4 linked regions of the Xenopus tropicalis genome follow. The protein of the gene in region 1 purifies or fractionates together with the protein of each later gene. This does not show direct contact. Links are inferred from orthologs where the notes say so. Each region holds a gene or a part of one and is shown in the gene's direction. Other genes may lie near its edges.

Evidence for each region. Proteins that work in one complex are often made in the same cells at the same time.
Region 2: the proteins of snrpa1 (region 1) and srrm2 fractionate together in Homo sapiens (co-fractionation; 3 studies listed by BioGRID, with this or other methods). This does not show direct contact. The link is inferred for Xenopus tropicalis from reciprocal best matches to the Homo sapiens genes SNRPA1 and SRRM2.
Region 3: the proteins of snrpa1 (region 1) and rbm17 purify together in Homo sapiens (affinity purification with mass spectrometry; 5 studies listed by BioGRID and IntAct, with this or other methods). This does not show direct contact. The link is inferred for Xenopus tropicalis from reciprocal best matches to the Homo sapiens genes SNRPA1 and RBM17.
Region 4: the proteins of snrpa1 (region 1) and phf5a purify together in Homo sapiens (affinity purification with mass spectrometry; 4 studies listed by BioGRID and IntAct, with this or other methods). This does not show direct contact. The link is inferred for Xenopus tropicalis from reciprocal best matches to the Homo sapiens genes SNRPA1 and PHF5A.

Annotation. Positions count from the first base shown.
Region 1 is NC_030679.2:115,911,887-115,917,405, reverse strand, and holds the start of snrpa1 (U2 small nuclear ribonucleoprotein A'), read left to right. Parts: upstream 1-1,827; 5' UTR 1,828-1,916; coding exon 1,917-1,998; intron 1,999-3,370; coding exon 3,371-3,518; intron 3,519-5,085; coding exon 5,086-5,164; intron 5,165-5,519. UniProt on the Homo sapiens protein: Involved in pre-mRNA splicing as component of the spliceosome. Associated with sn-RNP U2, where it contributes to the binding of stem loop IV of U2 snRNA.
Region 2 is NC_030685.2:12,509,392-12,514,452, forward strand, and holds part of srrm2 (serine/arginine repetitive matrix protein 2), read left to right. Parts: coding exon 1-519; intron 520-1,205; coding exon 1,206-1,460; intron 1,461-1,563; coding exon 1,564-1,671; intron 1,672-3,497; coding exon 3,498-3,590; intron 3,591-4,588; coding exon 4,589-4,598; 3' UTR 4,599-5,061. UniProt on the Homo sapiens protein: Required for pre-mRNA splicing as component of the spliceosome. As a component of the minor spliceosome, involved in the splicing of U12-type introns in pre-mRNAs.
Region 3 is NC_030679.2:84,301,301-84,306,361, reverse strand, and holds part of rbm17 (splicing factor 45), read left to right. Parts: intron 1-289; coding exon 290-441; intron 442-781; coding exon 782-858; intron 859-1,004; coding exon 1,005-1,103; intron 1,104-2,892; coding exon 2,893-2,965; intron 2,966-5,061. UniProt on the Homo sapiens protein: Splice factor that binds to the single-stranded 3'AG at the exon/intron border and promotes its utilization in the second catalytic step. Involved in the regulation of alternative splicing and the utilization of cryptic splice sites.
Region 4 is NC_030680.2:120,354,705-120,359,257, forward strand, and holds the end of phf5a (PHD finger-like domain-containing protein 5A), read left to right. Parts: intron 1-104; coding exon 105-128; intron 129-1,525; coding exon 1,526-1,692; intron 1,693-3,235; coding exon 3,236-3,325; 3' UTR 3,326-3,417; downstream 3,418-4,553.

The DNA of each region.
Region 1 (5,519 bases):
ATACACACACATACAAGGATAGGGTTAAAATGGCTGAATGTGTGACATGGGACTGAAGCAGACAATGAGCTCTGCATAAGGGCAAACAGGAGACCTGAAAATGAGCCTTTACCTAAAATTTTATTTTGCTTGGGTACCTTAAACCATCTTTAAAGAGATATGGAAAAGAAAAAGGTTTTAGAAGCAGAGAGAACCTTGTCACCATTTCAGTAAAATGCAGCATTGATACATAAGGTGACGGCAGTGCAAGATGGGGCAAATGACCCTTTTCCCACACAGCTCCAATCTGCCCCCACATTTCCTAAGAACATTCACTCCCACCTTCATCCTACCACCTTATACTATAAGTAGGTACCAATGGACGCCATTTATTGAATGAAATACATTAGACATTCCTTCATTTGTGCCATGGTATATTAAATAAATACCATATATAAAAAGTTGTGAAAACTAAATATGGAAAACATTCCATCGGTTTGGCATGGTTGCTACATTAGCATTTCCTGGTCGGGCACTAGCATGCTAGGCCAAACTCTGATCATCTGATCATTTGGCCCCAGAGTAATGATTTTATCATAAGAGGGTCTTGTGCAAATATGGGTGCAAACTGAAGCAAATCCAGGCTCTTTCTTCCATCTTATTTTTTAAATTTGGCAAAAGCCACACACAAGCAACATGATCCAATTCAGCCCCTTCATAAAGGCTAATACCAAACCCCATACATCTGTCTCCTCTGAGAAGTTTCTTTGCATTACCCATGTATAGGCTGCTAACTGCATTCACTTGGCTTAGCCTCCTACTGCGGCTCTTTTACCAACACTTAAGCATTGGTATATCAGTGCATTATTACTAACCAGTACAATTCCAGTCATTCCCATTCAGTCTCTGACCTGCTGCAGACCAAGGCTAATCACTGGTTGCTATTAGTAACTGTGCAGAGAAAACTTTGCTTGGGTTGGTAATTATGTCCTTACTGACTTAGCAGGTCCTGATTCACCCATTTCTTAATGAAACAACAGTAGCTAATAGTGTAGCTTCCACTGATTTAGATTTCCCTCAATCACCTTTTGGGCTCTGGCACACGGGGAGATTAGTCGCCCGCGACCGCGTTGGCTTGTTGATGCAGTCCCCGGACCTATATCCGCCGCAATAATTCAATCGTTTGGCCCCAGGGTAAGGCACCTTGTGTATGGGCACCTTAAGGGCTCTGGCACACGGGGAGATTAGTCGCCCGCGGCAAAACTCCCTGTTCGCGGGCGACTAATCTCCCCGAGTTGCCTTCCCCTGCCATCCCATCGGCGATAATGTAAGTCGCCGGTGGGATGGCAGACGCGGCGGGGCGATTTCGGCAAATCGCTGAAAAAGACTCGCAAGGCTTTTTCGGCGATTTGCACGAAATTGCGCCGCCGCGTCTGCCATCTTGCCGGCGACTAATCTCCCCGTGTGCCAGAGCCCTAAGGGTGAAGATACAGGGAGCTACTTAGTAGCAGCTACTTGTCACGGCTACTAATCACCAGAAAATCCCCTGCCATAGACAGTACTGAGAATTGCCTCTGCTAAAACACACGTAGAGACAATTATCAGTAAATGATCAGCTTTGTCTGTTTTAGTAGCCATGACAAGTAGCTTCTACTAGTAGCTCCGTGTGTATTCTTCCAAGGTTTTCTTATTCTTCGCTTCTTCTAGCTGTCGCCACAAGCTTTGCGCTCGATTATTCTTTACTCATGTACTTTCCCCTGTCTCTTGTACAGCGTCACAGGTACATGAGGCAGCGCTAGGCTCCGCCCCTTTTCAAAGCGGCTTGCTGATTGGCCAGTAGAGCGCCTAGCCATAGCGGAAGTGACTCTCTAGTGGACTTCCTGTCGTGTGGTGCCGCGCGTTGGCTTTGGCTCTGGCTTGCAGCTTTCCCGGGCATCATGGTGAAACTCACGGCTGATTTGATTGAGCAGGCTGCGCAGTACACTAACGCGGTGCGGGACCGAGAGCTGGACCTCAGGGGTGAGCGGCGGCCTCTCCCGGCCTCATTGGGAGACTCTCGGCTGCCAGTTGTTCTCATTTCCAGGGCCAGTCCGCCAATCTGCACTCACTCTCCATTGTATTCTGCGTTTGTTTGTTTGTTTGAGCTTATAGTTATTTCCCTAACATCCGGCCGTTAGTTTGGGATTTAGACTGGATCGCAGTGTAATGAATTAGGGAAAACAACTCAGTGTGTGTATGGTTAAATAGTCCGGGGTATTGGCTTCCCAAAAGTGCTGGGGGGGGGGGGTTATATTTTTTTTGGCAAGTGTGTGTGTGATTGGTGTGTTGGTTCTATATGAGATATATGTATACACACACACACTTACCATTGCGGTAGGATCTAGTATTCCTTATGTACAGTGGCAGCAGGCACAGAAGCATTAGAGCTTTATGCACTTATATTCTTTTAGTGGGGAGAATATCTTTGAGTTCCCTGCTGTATTGTATCAGTCATGTCAACCAAATATTATGAGTATGGAGCCCCTACAATACTTGGACGCCTGCTCCAGCTCCCCCCTATTACACTATATGGAACTTATTTGAATGTGGCTGAAGAATCCATAATATTTAGGCATAGTTGTAACACTGTGTGGGTAACAGCTGTGTGTGTCGTGGTTAATATTCAGTCCTTTTATAGGTTTTGTATGTAAAGAAATCCTTCTGGGGCTGGGGAGGGCAGTTGTTGCTTGGAGTTGTAGTTTTACTACAGCTGGGGTGAGCATGTCTTATAAAATTATTAGTATTAAGAAATAACATAAATGTTGTCGTTTGAGGAGATTCCTTGCAGAGTGGGCATATGCCTTGGCCATTTGTAAGGCTACCACTTTTACAATAGGTTTAAATTGGTGCATAGACAAAACAGAAGTGATTTGTTTGCTAACCTTGACCTGCAGCTTAAGGGTAGGTAACTGACCCCAGTAAAATAAAAACCCACTATTGCTTTGTGAGGCTGTGTAGCTGGGGCTATGTTCTGATAGGCTTTTGCCCTTTAGCCAAACACAACATTGCCTGACCCTAAGCCCAGTGACACTGACAAAGCTGCTCCTTGTTGGAGACTGACTCAGTAAGTGGTGGGCAGTTGGGAGGCAGGGAGGGCATCTGCACTAGAAAACCTTTTGATATAAGTAGCAGGGGAATGAGGCACATTCATGTTCAAACCTGGATTGTGTTACTACCCCAGTTGCTTGTTTTGGGAGCAAATGGAAACTACAGATATTGGCAAAGTCATAGAGGATGTTTGCAGAGACACTGTGTATACTTCTTTGCTCTCAGCCACACACACATATATCCAGTGGCAGTATTATCAACTCTCAGTTCATATGTAAATGTTATCTCTGATTCTCTCACACAGGCTACAAAATCCCAGTGATTGAGAATCTTGGGGCAACACTAGACCAGTTTGATACAATTGATTGTTCAGATAATGAGATTAGAAAACTGGATGGATTTCCTTTATTGAAAAGACTTAAGACCCTCCTACTAAACAATAACAGAATATGGTAAGTTTGGTGCTTTATTATAGCTATATATGCTACTGGTTCTTACACTGTCATTGCTATCTGTGTATATGATACTTTTTTGACATGTATTCAGAATCTGAATCTGAATGCACTTCATTTCAAAATAAAGGCTTTTTTTTTTTATAACAGACAGTAAAGGAAAGGGTGTATTGAACTTTTGGCTCTCAATAAAAGCACCTTAGCAGCCAAAAGTATGCTATAACCCTAAAGCAGCAAACTGTTTGCCACTGTGTTCACTCACATTAGCGTTTGGGTTGGTTGCTGCACACACTGCATTAATCACTGGTGTAGGAAGAAAATAAATACCTCGGTAACACATAAGCATATCCTTATTCCTTCTGGGTGAACTGACTTTAAGATTTGTTACATAACACCAAGAAAAGGCAAACCAAGTATGATCATTTTGTTTGAATGAATTTTCCTCAAAAGATCCATCATGTCTCCATGTAGTCTATAGACTTGCTATGCCCACTAATCAGTCTCGAAGGGTTCATCAGCCTATCGGACCTTAAATCCACAGCTCCTTCTTGCTCCTAAGAGCAAATGATGACTGGGTGAATGTAACAGATTACTCAAGAGTAGCTTTTGAAATGGCTGGTTCCAATCACCAACAAAATGTATATGTTACAAAGCCCCATGAATCATCAGCATATCTTATTTTTAGCTAGTACGCATCTGGGGAGACCATAATAAGGAGCAATAACATCAGCATTAAAAGCAAAATTCCATTCCTACTTGAATGCAGCCAAACCACATGTATAAACAGAGAGTGCAAGTCCTTCTCATTATGGAGTGGATCTCTTAGGACCGGCAGCCAGCATTATTTTATAAAGGGTTGAATTGAATGATTATAGGCCTTTGTAAAAGTTAAATAAGTAACCCTGTGAGCTGCAGACTTGATTTATTCACTGGATTTTTAAAAAAATAAAACTGACTGGTGCCTTTTATGGTTAAAAAACATATTTATTCTCATTAATGACAAGTAGAGGTAATAAGAGTCCTGCATAAAACCCTCAAAGCACCCCAGCATGGCCTGTACTCTGTTTAGCACTGCACTTTCTCAAAGTGTTAGATGCATTTTAACATTAGTATCAGTGACATTGGTAGGGAAGCACTTCTCTGGGAGCAGAGACCCATTTATGTACCATGGGCTGAATTGTGCAGTTCCTAGTTGTTTTTATGTAAAAGATTATGTTGTAATGCTAAAGCAAACATGCTGATTGTTATATAACTGGGCTGGAAACTCTCAGGCAGAGATCTCTTTGCTGTTTGGCCTCATTTTATTTAACATGTTTGTATGTTCCCATTCTGGCTCTTAGGGCTGCCATTAAGGGACATATTTGGGTCTCGTGCTAGCACAGTCTGTGTAAGGGGGCTCTGCTATTCTACCTGCATATACTGTGTGGGATCCATTAGCACAACGTATTGGGATATAATAAATATGGCCCATACCCTTTTTGTAAATGCTGGTGAAAGATATTTTCTGCAAAAATAAATGTAAGCTTTTTTTTGTAATGCTTGGTGTTAATTACATTTTTCCCCACAGCCGTATTGGGGAAGGTATAGAACATGCTTTACCTAATTTAACGGAATTGATTCTCACAAACAACAGTATTACAGAGCTGGTAAGTACTACATTTTGCATCTTTATTTGGAGCACTTTACAATGCACCTTGTTCTTTCATATTTGAAAGAGCCCCTAAATGTATAATGACCCATTTTATATTGCACAATGCTCTTTTCCTGCCTGTTGGTGATTTACATTCATACAAGTGGAAAACACACGCATTTCTGAGCAGGCAAATATCCCTTTTTTCCCAAGCGATCCCCCCCCCCCCCCCCCCCATGCCATAGGCAGCATTTTCCTTTTATTTGAAGGCATTGCCGCTAAAGTTCCCAGAAACATCATTACCACATATCCTTTTAAACCAAATGACATTTTCTGTTCCCTGGTTTCTCAGTAATCCTTTGCCAGGGTAA
Region 2 (5,061 bases), on another chromosome or scaffold:
CACAGATAAAGTGGAAGGAAGTCCAGACACTAAACAGTCTGGGTACACAAAAAAAGATATTGCTCCCAACAAGAGAGACTCAGGCATACTCTTGCCTAGCAGCAAGGGTTCCCCTGCACAGACGGAGCATGTCCTGGATGAATGTAGCAGGTCACCACCAAGACTACTTAGAGCACCAGCTGGCTCCGAAACAACTGCAGCATCTAAAAGTGGGGAAGACCAGTCCGATGTAATATTCCAAGACCAGAAAAGAGAGAGTAAAGAGTCCCCAAAAGATGAGGCTCTAACGCTGACTGAAAGCCCAGCCTGTACCATGATGGCAAATGTAGAAAATAGGAAGGAGAGGATCGCATCACCGCCACTGACCTCTGTTGGAGAAACCGTGGCTTCACCATCTTTGACCACAAAGTCAAGAAGGCAGAGTAGTTCGTCGGACAGCTCTTCCTCTTCGTCCTCAAGCTCAGACTCTAGTCCCAAGAAGCCTTCTGTGGATTCCGGGAATGTACCTGCTGTGGACAGGTGGGTGTATCTTACTAATAATATTTCTAGTGCCCATATTACTGATCAGACCTCTCCTCATAAGATGTAAAAGAGAAAGCTAATTTATTTTGGTCTGGAGAAGCCTTTGTTGGCCTCTTTCCTGACACCCAAAGTCCAGCAACCAATTCATAAGTTAAATGTGTTGGTTCCTGGCTATTGGGTGCTTCTTGCTCTTGTATTTATCTACTCTGGCAGTTGATAACCTGTCTTCACAAAAATTGGCTCTCATGCTTGCACATTTTGACACTAACTGCTAAAAATGAAGGTACTGGTAGCTGTGTGCAGTTGGGGGTGTTGGTACTTTAGATGTCCAGGGGTGAAATACAGTTAAACCTTGCCTGCTGCAAAGCCTGGAACTTGAACCTACAGACCACCTCCCCCACCCAACTCTCATCGCTAACTGTTTGGCTCTGTGGGTTGATTTTTTGCAATATCTGAGTCAGGGCGTTCTCTTCTGAACCTTGTCCATTATGTGCCAGACATCTTGGTCCACCAAGTTAGGTGCCCTTGAGTTTTTCAACTTTTATTTAAAATTGTATATAACCCTTAGTCTTTGTTGCAGTCTACAGTAAGCCTCTTGACCTGTATGCGCCCATACATTTACACACGCATATCCTACATATGTATGTATCCTAATTAAGTCTCTTATTTACTATTCCTTGCAGGGTTCCCAGCCCCATGACGGCTGAACCCCCCAAAGCAGCAGAGCCCCCTGTTCCTTTAGAAAGGAAACGGAGCTCACGGAGCCGCAGCTCATCCGCTTCTTCATCATCATCTTCCTCCTCGTCATCCTCCAGTTCTTCGTCCAATTCCGATTCCTCCAACTCGTCATCCTCTTCCTCGAGCTCCTCCTCATCTTCCTCCTCCTCATCCTCCAACAAAGCCAGCAGCAAAAAAGCAGCGTCTCCCGTTACTAGAAGGTGGGTTCCGTCTCTTCCTGTTTAGCTGCCTGAGCAATTATCACTTGTAATTAAGAGATGTGATTTATACTGATGGAAATAATGTTTATCTTGCATCCCACAGGTCACGCAGCCCACGGAAACCTATCGACTCTCTGCGTGACTCCCGGTCTCTAAGTTACTCCCCAGAAGAACGTAGGCGTCAACCATCTCCCCCACCCCCGCGAAGGAGGTAAGTCAAGGCCTTCCTCTAGGAATGTTCCCACTCCAATGGCAGAGGTTAATGGGAATAATCAATTATAAAGACTTAAAAGGGAATTCTCTTTAGGGATGCATCAAATCCGTTATTTTTGGCTTCTGCCGAACCCCAAATCCTTAGTTAAAGATTCAGACCCAAATCCTAATTTGCATATGGAAGTTAGGCTACAGAAGGGTTAAATTGATGTGCTTGTGTAAAAATTTTGCTTTTTCGGATTTCCTGCTGAAAAAGGAAACCTGTTATCCGGAAAGCTCCAAATTACGGAAAGCCCGTCTCCCATAGGCTCCATTTTAACCAAATAATTCAGAATTTTAAAAGTGATTTCCTTTTTCTCTGTAATAATAAAACAGTACCTTGTACTTGATCCCAACTAAGATATAATTACCCCTTATTGGGGGCAGAACAGCCCTATTGGGTTTATTTCATGGTTAAATGATTCCCTTTTCTCTGTAATAATAAAACAGTACCTTGTACTTGATCCCAACTAAGATATAATTACCCCTTATTGGTGGCAGAACAGCCCTATTGGGTTTATTTCATGGTTAAATGATTCCCTTTTCTCTGTAATAATAAAACAGTACCTGTACTTGATCCCAACTAAGATATAATTACCCCTAATTGGGGGCAGAACAGCCCTATTGGGTTTATTTAATGGTTAAATGATTCCCTTTTCTCTGTAATAATAAAACAGTACCTGTACTTGATCCCAACTAAGATATAATTACCCCTTATTGGGGCAGAACAGCCCTATTGGGTTTATTTCATGGTTAAATGATTCCCTTTTCTCTGTAATAATAAAACAGTACCTGTACTTGATCCCAACTAAGATATAATTACCCCTTATTGGGGGCAGAACAGCCCTATTGGGTTTATTTAATGGTTTAAATGATTCCCTTTTCTCTGTAATAATAAAACAGTACCTGTACTTGATCCCAACTAAGATATAATTACCCCTTATTGGGGCAGAACAGCCCTATTGGGTTTATTTAATGGTTAAATGATTCCCTTTTCTCTGTAATAATAAAACAGTACCTGTACTTGATCCCAACTAAGATATAATTACCCCTTATTGGGGCAGAACAGCCCTATTGGGTTTATTTCATGGTTAAATGATTCCCTTTTCTCTGTAATAATAAAACAGTACCTGTACTTGATCCCAACTAAGATATAATTACCCCTTATTGGTTGCAAAACAATCTTATTGGGTTTAATTAATGTTTTATTAATTTTTTAGTAGACTTAAGGTATGGAGATCCAAATTACAGAAAGAACCCTTATCCAGAATACCCCGAGCATTCTGGATAATGGGTCCTATACCTGTATACCAAACTGAATCCTGGATCCCCCTACTTCTCTTCACATAAATTTGGGGTGCTACAGTTATTAGGGCATCTCTTCTACCCAAACTATATATGCTGTGTAGAAAGGAACTAAAATGCAGTTTTTTACCAATTTATTAACGTTGGGTCTTCAGGTGTTAGTGGGCTGCAACTCCCAGCATGTTTTAGCCCTTAATAGTAAGGGACGCTGGGATTTGTAGTCTAGCACTACCTGGGGACCCAAGGTTAAGAATCAGATTTGAACAAAGATAGATTGTGTGTGTGTAATATGGTCTTAACCTGCCTGTGATATTCTTATTCCCTGCTTTTCTATTACACACCCTTCGTATCACCCATTTCCTCCATGTTTTTTTTTCCCCTACACATTGCCAAGCCACTCACTCGTTTTTTTTATTGGTAGAAGCCTGCCTCTTACGCTGTCCTTTATTTGTGTATTAACCCATCCTTTATTTACTGTAGAGAAAGGGATTCTGGGAGGAATCAGGAGTCGCCTGAACGGAAGAGGCGAAAGGACTCGCCCAACTCCAGATACTCTCACAAAAGAACTTCGAGGTATTTACCGGCTCTGTCTATTTTTCAAGGGGGGGGAGAGGCGCTTACTGGTGTAGGGCAAAGCTTTTGCTTTTCTGTTTGGCCGTCACCCACACTGACGAACAGCAGGGTGCTCATGTGACATTTTACAATATCAAACATATAAAAAAAATGTAATTTGCAAATGCTCCTCAGTTCGGCCCAAAATCCAGCTTCCAGGATTATACGGTGGTGGTCTAAAATTTCTCTGATCGGCCTAAAGACTCAACTAAAGACAACCGCTGTAATATCACCCACCGCCCTAAGGGGGTGCCAGTCCCAAACTAGAGGCTTTATGCTTTATTTAATGAACAGAACATATAGAATTAGATTTCTCATTTGTGGGAGTAGACTTGGCTTCCTTTTACAAAAGCATAGGGGGGCGGGGTGGGGATTGCTTATTTCATGAACGCGCACATAGGCCGAGGGTTTATACATGTTTAGTACGTGTAGGCTCAGTAAATATGCTGTAACGGATTAAAGGAGAAGGAAAGGCTAATAAAGAGTTAATCTCAAGCTGCAGGCATACCTTCAGTTCTCTCAATAGCGCCCTTAAGTCTCCCTATATTTCACCTGTTCAGATGATCAGAAGCCAAATAGGAAGAAAAAACGCTGATCTGTGTAAAGAATGCTCCCATAATGCTTTGCTCCTGCACAGACACCCAGACTAAGTGTACATGCTCAGTTAAACTATGAGTCAGCTCCCTGCTGATTGGCTCAGATCCACATTCCTGGTGGGGGGGGGGGGTGAGTTCCTAGCATTCTTGAGGGAGGGGGGAGCAGGAAAGAGCAGAAAGCTGCGTGTCTCTGGCACAGGAATTAGACACAACTTATCGTTTGACAGAGAACTCATTGCAGTGTTTCTGTGAGTGCTTAAGGCTGTCTTTACATAGACCTTTCTGATAAAGCTTACTGAGTTTTTATCTTTCTCCTTTAAAGTGACCGTATGTAACACATTCATTCCCGCCTCTCTCTATCAGGTCTCCGTGATCCGTCGCCATCGAGGAATTTTCATAACTGTTTCCTCCATCTATCTGTAATGACTATGGGACTTGGTTCGTTCGGTGACCCTTTTTTGCCTGCAAGGGTGCAGACTATTTACTTACATATTGCTTTTTTTTGGTGGGGGGGGGGGGAGCCTGAGGCAGCTGAAATTGAGACTGATAACAGGGGGCCTGTGACTCCCCTGAACACAGTGTGTCTGCCTGCACTACACTGGGAATGGCTCCCCCTGCCCATACCGCCCTGAGGATCTTAAACACAGAAGATGAAATGTGAACTTCATTAGGGTGGTGGTATCCTCCCTCACAGGTGACTCCGCCCAGCCCTCTTCTGGGAGGTGCCATCTAGAGACTGCGTATACCCCCCCCCCTCCCTCCATCTAGGTTACGTCAGTCTGACACTGCCCAGCCCTGCTCTTTCCATCTTTCGTTCTGCATAAGCAATTTCGTAA
Region 3 (5,061 bases), about 32 Mb from region 1:
GGTTTCCACCTGAAACTTCACTGTGACGATCGAAAACTCATTCTGTGTGATTAGCCTAGATATTTTCTTTATGAAAATCCTTAGGGATAATTAAAAATTAAGGTGCAGTGGCATATTAGGTAACTTTTCTGAAAGTATGTATAAAACTGAAATGGGCAAAATTCCATGTATATATGGTGACTGTGCTACTCCCTTGCTCATCACTTTATATGGGTTCATATTTACTTACAGCTACTGTAGGGGGCAAAAATAAGCTGAGGTTTTGTGTACTTTGTTTCTGTTTTTAAAGTGGTACTGTGGCCCACAAAATCATGCAGAAGTATGGCTTTCGGGAAGGACAGGGCCTTGGCAAGCACGAGCAGGGTCTCAGCACTGCACTTTCTGTTGAAAAGACAAGCAAGAGGGGAGGCAAAATTATTATTGGTGACTTAGCTGACAAAGGTTTGTTGTTTTGAGTAACAATTTTCAGATACTAATATATAAAGTGTGTGTATGGATATGTGGATATAACTTATGTAGTGCATATAAATAAATATTTTTGTTTTTTTCCCAAGTTTTTTTTTTTTTTTAACATGGGTGTGTGTGTGTATGTATGTATGTATGTATATGTGTATGTATATATATATATATATATATATATATATATATATATATATATATATATATATATATATACACAAAGTCAAGAGTTTCACAATAACGCCTAATAGTGCAGATTCCTTGCTTCATTGGTGATTTTTTTCATTTAAAGTGTTTTAAATAGAAATTTAATCTCTTACAGTTGAAGCAGCTAAGAAAGCAGATCCAAACCCTCTGACAGAAATACTAAAGAATCCTACTAAAGTTGTTTTGCTTCAGGTAAGAAGGGCAGCAGCCCAAGGTTTATCGGCCAAAAATATGTTCATAGGGAGACTTTTTTATAATTGTAATTTGCGCTTTTTCTGCTATTGGAAAACACTCAATTTTTGTTGTCAAAAGCTCATTCTGCTGATTTCTACTTCTAGAACATGGTAGGTGCTGGGGAAGTTGATGAAGATCTGGAAGCTGAAACAAAGGAAGAGTGTGAAAAATACGGCAAAGTTGGAAAATGTGTCATTTTTGAGGTAATAACCAGCATGTATGGTATAGGTGTCGTGCTTTTGCTTTACTTAGTACTAATGATATGAGTGCTGCCTTAGTATGTTATGCAGTAGCAGTGGTGTATCCTTAGTATTGTAACTGTGTTTATGAAATGCAGCAACAGTATTCAAGGGCACCCATCCTAAAGGCCAGATAAAATAAGATTCGTTTTTAGTTAGATGCTTGTAGGGGTACACTGACATTGAGCACATGGCTTCGATCAGAAGAACTGGGAATGGAAGTGAGCAGGTATAAATTAAGCTAAAAAGTGCACAAAATGGCATATATATTTTTTTTTTGTTAATATTATTTATTTTATTTTTTTTTAAAACTTAGCTTTTTGTTTAGCAGCTGTCCAGTTTTAATCGTATTTTGCTACTAGGGACTCTTTAACAGTAGCACCAGGCAGTGGTTTCAGCAACAGACTGGAAGTTGAATAGGCGAGGGCCTAAACAGAAATTGTAACAAATAAAATTGTAACAGTAAATTTGGTCATTACAAAGCAGTAGTTTGTTGTTGTCCCATATCAGTGTTGTTTTCTGAAAAATATGTGCACATTTTGATTTTGAAAATTTAAAACAGGGTAGTGTTTCCCACTGTGTTTGACCACCTCTTCTTTTAACAACACTCTTGTAACCATTTACTGGCTTTTGAAATGTGCATTGATAAGCCCAGATAGTCCTTCTCTTCAGCCCGGAGGAGGCAGCATATATAATTTACCGAAAAGAATTTCACCACAGGAAAGTTTTCCACTTTGCCTCAGTCCATCTGAATGAGCTTGGACCCAGAGAAGGTGGTAGTGTTTCTGAATCATTTTTATATATGTTTTTTTTCTTTGCATTGTAAATGATGCAGTGATTAACCATGTTCAGACAGTGGTTTTTGGAAATATTCCGGAGCCCCTGCAGTGATTTCCACTACAGAATCATGTCTGTTTTAAATGCAGTGCCAACTGAGGGCCCAAAGATTATGGCCATACAATATTGGTTTTTGGCCTTGTTCCTTGTGTACTGTGATTTCTTAATCCTCTAAATTTTTTAACGATATTATGTTCTGTAGATGATGAAATCCCCAATCCTTTGTCATTTTTGTTTAGGAATGTTATTAAATTGTTGCAATATTTGACGGTGCAGGGTTTGACAGAGAGTGGTACCCCTCCCCATATTTACTTTTGAAAGATTCAGCCTCTCTGGGATCCGTCCTTTTTAGCATTACGTTTTTGCCAATATCAAAGGGTGTTAAAATATATGGACGATGATGCACTCCCTATAGTAATTTGCAAAGTCATGAGTTTTGACACCACATGTCTTTCTGTGTGTCACCTCATTTCTGAATATTTTTTTTATATAGGTCACATTATCCCTCAAATTATGCTCAGTTTATTGTGTATATACAAATATCATAGTATCCTTCAATAGACTGTAACTGAAGATTGCTGAAACCTTTGTTTTTCAAAAAGAAAAAAACAACAACAAAAATGAGTTAGTATACTTGATTCTTATATACTTATTCTGACTTGGCAGAAGCTATGAGTCTATATAGGAAAACTAGGGTACACTTTGACAAAAATTAACCAAATAATATGGTCATAAGCCTTTCAATAGGTTTTTGCTATTGAAGTATGTTGAGATATGTAATTCTTTAACACTGCATAAGTGACACAAATGGAAGGGCAAGCATACTTATATATAGGCTTGTCTTAAAAGATGTTGGCTGTGCTCAAGTCAAAATTATAATAATTCTAATAATTGCTGTGTGTGTTTTTGTTTCCAGATTCCTGGTACACCAGATGATGAGGCTGTAAGAATATTTTTGGAATTTGAAAGGGTTGAATCTGCAATTAAAGGTAAATTGCTTGTTTTACCGAAACTGAGATTTTTGTGTGCATAACAAAGTGATCAATGATAAATTAAACCTATTTCAGAACTTGTTTGTCCGAGATAATAATGAAGTATTGTAATACACACAGAAATCCAGGTATAGTAGGCTGCATCACTTCCCAAGTTATGTAATATACTATAGCAAATATTAAGCAAATGGAAGGTCATAAAAGCTGCACTCTTAGGGGCACATTTACTAACCCACGAACGGGCCGAATGCGTCCGATTGCGATTTTTTCGTAATGATCGGTATTTTGCGATTTTTTCGTAATGATCGGTATTTTGCGATTTTTTCGGAAATGATCGCGACTTTTTCGTTACCAATACGATTTTTTGCGAAAAAACGCGAGTTTTTCGTAGCCATTCCGAAAGTTGCGCAAAATCTGGCGATTTTTTTCGTAGCGTTAAAACTTGCGCGAAAAGTCGCGATTTTTTCATAGAGTTAAAACTTGCGCGAAACGTTGCGCCTTTTAAGTTTTTAACGCTACGAAAAAATCGCCAGATTTTGCGCAACTTTCGGAATGGCTACGAAAAACTCGCATTTTTTCGCGCAAATAATGGCTACGAAAAACTCGCGTTTTTTCGCGCAAATCGTATTGGTAACGAAAAAGTCGCGATAATTTCCGAAAAGTCGTAAAGGCGCTGAAAAAATCGCAAAAAATACGAAAAAGTCGCAAAATGTTCGTTTTCCAATCGGAATTTTTCCAATTCGAATTCGTGTCTTAGTAAATCAGCCCCTTAGACTTAAAGTCATGCCATTGTTGTCACCAATAAAAATAATACCTAACATAGGGTTTCTCACATGGGAGCAACATGGAATATTGTTTTTCTGACTTGTTTGTCAGGTTTGCTTCAAACAATAAGAAAATGATAACTGCTATGGGTTTGGTAGAATTTTAGCTGTTAGCTGCTTCTGGCTCTATAGTCCAGTATAGCCCAGCAAGACCTTTAATGAACCTGTAACTTTTTAAATCTATATTCTGAATAATGCTACCTAGTAAACTTTGCATTCTAAGCAATAAGCAGTTTTTATGCTTCCAGGAACTTCTTGTATGAAAAATCAGTCTTTATGTGCAGTCAGTGAATAATACTGATTGTCTTCTTTTGAAGTTAAATGTGATTTCTGAAGTGATGCTTCCACTTCCACTCTTGCAATATCATATCAAATGAGAGCTGTCTGGTGTGATCTTCTGTGCAGGTTTTCATTCCAACTTCACTTAACATAGAAAACAAATAGTAATCAAAGTTATTGCACTTACACTACATTTTAGAACGCTTTTCAGTCTATGGTATATTCAGAAAGTGGGTGGGTATTAGTATAAAGAATAAAAAAGTGCTAAAAATAAAAGCATTATGACATGAAGCTGAACATAGATAAGATCAGTCCCATTTGCCACATGGGCAGATTTTGTCTGACAGAACCACTTTAAGGGTTGGTTCACTTTTAAGCTAACTTTTAGTTTGTTATAGAATACCCTTTTCCTAGCAACTTTGCAATTAGTTTTCATTTTTTTTTTTTATGGTTTTTGAATTGTTTGCCTTTCTCTTCTGCCTCTTTCCAGCTTTCAAATGGGGGCCACTGACCCAAGCAGCTAAACACTATTGCTCTGTAAGGCTACAATTTTATTAATATTGTTAATCTTTATTACTTACCTTTCTGTGCATTCCTTCTACTATTCATATTCGCATCTCTTGTTTAAACCACTGCCTGGTTACTAGGGTAAGAAAGACCCTAGCAACCTGCTTAATAACCAAATGGAGAGCTGCTGATCAAAAATCTAAATAACTGAAAAACCATAAATGAAGACCAATTTCTAATTGTCTCAGAATATCAATGTCTGCAACATATTAAAAGTTAAATTAAAAGTCAGCTAGCGGTTGTAAACCCTATCATAATGCTGCGTCACTGCGCCCCCTAGTTTTGCTATAGAAAAACATAATTATAGATGCAAGAAAATTAGCCAATGAGCATTCTACTGACTAAAAAGTGCAAGAGAAGTGACCGATGAGAATGTTAATTCCTAGTACTACACCAGCCATCTCCCTGTTATCTTACATATAA
Region 4 (4,553 bases), on another chromosome or scaffold:
TGTGTACAACATGATGACCACTGTTTAATATATATATATATATATATATATATATATATATATATATATATATAAACACTTACATTTATAATTTTCTATTGCAGCTATTGGAAGACTCTGTGAAAAATGTGAGTATATATAATTCTTAAACTTTTAAAATATAAATTGCATTTGTTCATATGCAAAAAATGTTTCACCTTTGTCTTCTTTGTGCAACTGATTATTTCTCAACAAGCAATGGTTTTTAAGTGTTGCTGCCAGTCCTATATCTGATATCTCTGATATATCTGATTATATATTCTATATTCAGCAGTTGTATTACATTAGACATTATTAAAAAAATGACATTGCTTAACATCTGCTGAGTGGGGAAAATCAAGAATTTACAGTCTGTTTAAAAGTGTGTGTAGTTGTGGGGTGCATGTAAGGTTAGACTTAAGGTCCTCATACACCATAAGATCCGCTCGCTTGGCGATGTCGCCAAGCGAGCGGATCTTCTCCCGATATCCCCCACCTATGGGTGGGCGATATCGGGAGAATCCAGGGTAATTCGATCCCTGGGGCCAAATGATCGAATTATAACAGCAGGTATAGGAAAAGTCGGTCCGGGGACTGCATCAATGAGCCGATGCGGTCCACGATCCAACTAGATTTTCTAACCTGCCCCATCGAGATCTGGCCAATTTGAGGCCAGATATCGGTCGGGCAGGCCTGTTGGGAGTGCGCTTACACGGGCCAATTAGCTGCTGAATCGGCCCAAGGGACTGATATCGGCAGCTACTATCGGCCCGTGTATGGGGACCTTTAGTCTTTCATTACCTATATATCACAGCATGGTATGGGGTGCAAATCATTGCCTTTTTAAATTATCAAACAGGATGGCTGCAAATCAAGAGTGCAACAGTTCTGGACTAAAAGTCCATTGAGTTGGAGCTGAATAGCCTTGTCTTTTTGAGTTTAATTGATTTGTAACATTTTTCAGTCTTACCATGTATAGTTATAGTATTACAAGTCTTAAAGGGTAAGGAATTAATTAGGGAGTCCCTAAGGAATATAATCCGTTACCTTGGATTTTGGGCTTGCTCTCCTCTTTACTGAAAGGTGCACTAGCATAGTGGTGTATTTCATTAGCACAGCACAGCCATCTTCCAAATGATCCCTTGGCATGTACTATAGGCTTGCATAGGAAATTGTGTGCAGTAGAGTAAAATCAGGGATTTATCTTTCCTGCATGTGTGCGTAATCAGCTGCAAGGGATTCCTGGGACTTTACACAAGATGGCAACAGAGAATGGAATGGAAACTTGGACCAGTCCATTTTTCAGCAAACGAGTGGATTTTTTTAATTTACCATCACCCAGTTAGTCACCTTAGAGAGAATAACACTCTCATTGCCCTAATAAACCGACACTGCTTGCCATGTCCTTTTATCTCTGTTACAGGAGCAAAAAAAAAAATGTGCATATCTGGAGAGTACCCAAGCCTGTTAAGAAATTAACAATTTAATTATTTTTTTTAATCTGCAGGTGATGGGAAGTGTGTGATTTGTGACTCGTATGTACGCCCGTGCACTCTTGTGCGTATTTGTGACGAATGTAACTACGGCTCTTACCAAGGGCGATGTGTGATCTGCGGAGGGCCTGGGGTTTCAGATGCTTATTACTGCAAAGAATGCACCATCCAGGAGAAAGATGTAAGTAAAGACAAAATAAAAAAAAATATATAGCAAAAAATAGCTGCATTCGCTTATTAGAGAGTGTGCCTGGGTGCACACCGCCGAAGAGTAAATATAGACTTTCATATAAAGCAGGGCACTCACAGGATTTAAAAGTATGGTGAAAAAGAAATAAAGTTTATTTGTTATTTCAACGTTTCGGTCTTCCTTGATAAAGGTCTCAAGGAAGACCGGAATGTTGGAATAACAAACTTTATTTCTATAATTTAGAGTTGAAGCTGCCATTTTTAGTTACTGTCAGAAATGGTTAATGTTTCCTGTGCTATTAAATTACATGTTTTGTGTGGTCTTTACTGATTAAATTAGTTTAAGTGAGGGATCTAGAACCCAGAATCCCATTATCCAAAAGATGTTAGTAAGGGAAGAGTTGCTTGCTTTATTTTTTTCTCTAATAATTAGACCGTATCTTGCACTTGGTGATAATGAAGCTGCATATAATCGGTAATGATGGCAGCACATGTTGGATATTCATAATTGTTGTATTTATTTTGGTAGCCTTAGGGCACAATGCTCCAGTTTACAGAAGCACCCTATATTCGGGAAAACCCCAGGACCGTGCATTCTGTATACACAAAATCTTTTCCCAAGGCAAGCTGTATCACTTCCCATTTTCTTATGTGACATGCAGGAATAATCTGGTTTCCTAATTTTCCATCTAAATGTACTGCATTTTTCCTAAACTATTAAAGGATATTTTTTTCCATGTTCTTCCACAGTTAGTTACATAGTCATCACCTAAAAATTCCCTTTTATGCCTTTTTTTTTTTTCATAAAAGCTTAAAAATCTTCTGTTACTTTTTTGTTACATTACAAGATTTTTACATTGCCTTAAATAGCACATGGGCAATTATGTGCAAATTCACAACACCAAAGGAGCCAAAACCATCCCACTTCTGTAATGACAGTAGCCTGGAATTGTGGTCTGCAAGAACATAAGTGCCAGCATCTTTTAAAAAGAAAATTTTTTTTTTCAGAAATACAGGAATTTTTTTTCTTTTTTGGAAATATACACAATATTAAGTATTGTTTTCAGGTAAAACACATCCATAGCCATTATAAAGGCATTTAAATATCACAGCTGCCAATCATGTATTGCCTGCCCTGCCTCTATGCCTAGGCATAGAGGCGGGGCAGGCAGTTACTTTTATTTTCCATTCAGAACTCGCTTTCCCCGTTTCTCCTCACCATCTAATTGTGTAGCCAGTACGTGGGTATGGCCCCCCCATTCTGGCTAATATACAAGATTTTGGGGTGATACAAAGCTAGCTTTAATAAGTGTCTACAAAATGGAACCTGCCTGTTTGCTGTGATTATGTAATTCCAAGACTGAAGGAAACAAGATGTATATTATTTATATATTGTAAGTGAAGTTTATTTTGCTTGACAAACACAATAGAAAATTATTTGGAATTATTTCTTAGGGTGACAGGCCCCCTTTAATTACTTGTGTTTATAGTTTTGTTATTAACGTTTTCATTACTTTTCTACATCTATTTTGCAGAGAGATGGTTGTCCCAAAATTGTAAATTTAGGCAGCTCCAAAACAGATCTCTTTTACGAAAGAAAGAAGTATGGATTCAAGAAGAGGTGATCCTGCCTTTGGATTTTCTGTGTGATCTTATCTTTTTGTGAAAAACTGATTTTGTAATGTTGAAGAAATCATTAAAATGTCTTTTACAACAATGCCCCTTCTCATTTAACATCTTCTTTTATCCTATAATGTAAAGAAACCATTAAATACATTTAGAACAGGTTGCAAGGTATTTAGGCTTACTCTTTATAATGTGCAACAAAAGTAGTGGTATACTGTTAACCTGTGGCGAATAACTGTGGCACCAAGGGAAAAGGATATCATACCTCCCAAGTGTCCCATGGAGTCACGATCTTTAACTGGCTGCCTGCAGTCCTGGATCACCTATTAAATGTCCAGCACTGGATTTTTTTTAATAAAAATATATATTTTTTTTTCTAGTAGTAACTGATCTCATACCTGTATTTGCCACTACCATTTTAAAGGGGTGGTTCACCTTCAAGTTAACTTTTAGTATGTTAGAATGGCCAATTTTAAGCAACTTTTCAATTGGTCTTCATTATTATTTATAGTTTTATCATTATTTGCCGCCTTCTTTTGACTCTTTCTAGCTTTCAGATTGGGGATCACTGACCTATGCTCTGCTAGCCTACAATGTTGTTGTTACTTTTTATACCTTATTTTTCAACTTAGGTCCTCTCCTGTCCATATAATAGTCTCCCATACAAACCACTGGTTGCTAAGGTAATTTGGTTACTAGCAACCAGATAGCTGCTGAAATGCAAAACTGCAGAGCTGCTGAACAAAAAGTGAAATAACTAAAAAAAACTATATATAATGAAGACAAATGTCCTTGTTTCAAAAAAAAAAAAAAAAAAAAAAAACTTGCTCTGAGGATCCAGTCAGTACTAGTTTAAAATTGCTGTGTGGTTGTTGGCACATCACGATAAACTATTATCTTTTCAAACAACCTCCACCCATGCCTTTTCTTATGTTGATATGGCATAATCCCATATCAGCCCTTTTTAATTTAACAACAGATACTTCAACTGAGAATTCCTTAGCTATGTTGCCATTGGTGATGTTAGTTCCACAATGTGGGCAACTTCTTACTCCACCTTATGGTTTTTTATTGTGAGTGATGGCTGTAGGTAGACTGACAAAATGAATTAGGTCTGCTATTTCCAGTGTTCTTGTCTTGCTGTGAGTTGTGGCAGGTTTCTGTTGGCAGATCCAATAGCTATGTTTTTAAGCAAGTGATGCAACACACTGTCTGGACATAGGGGTT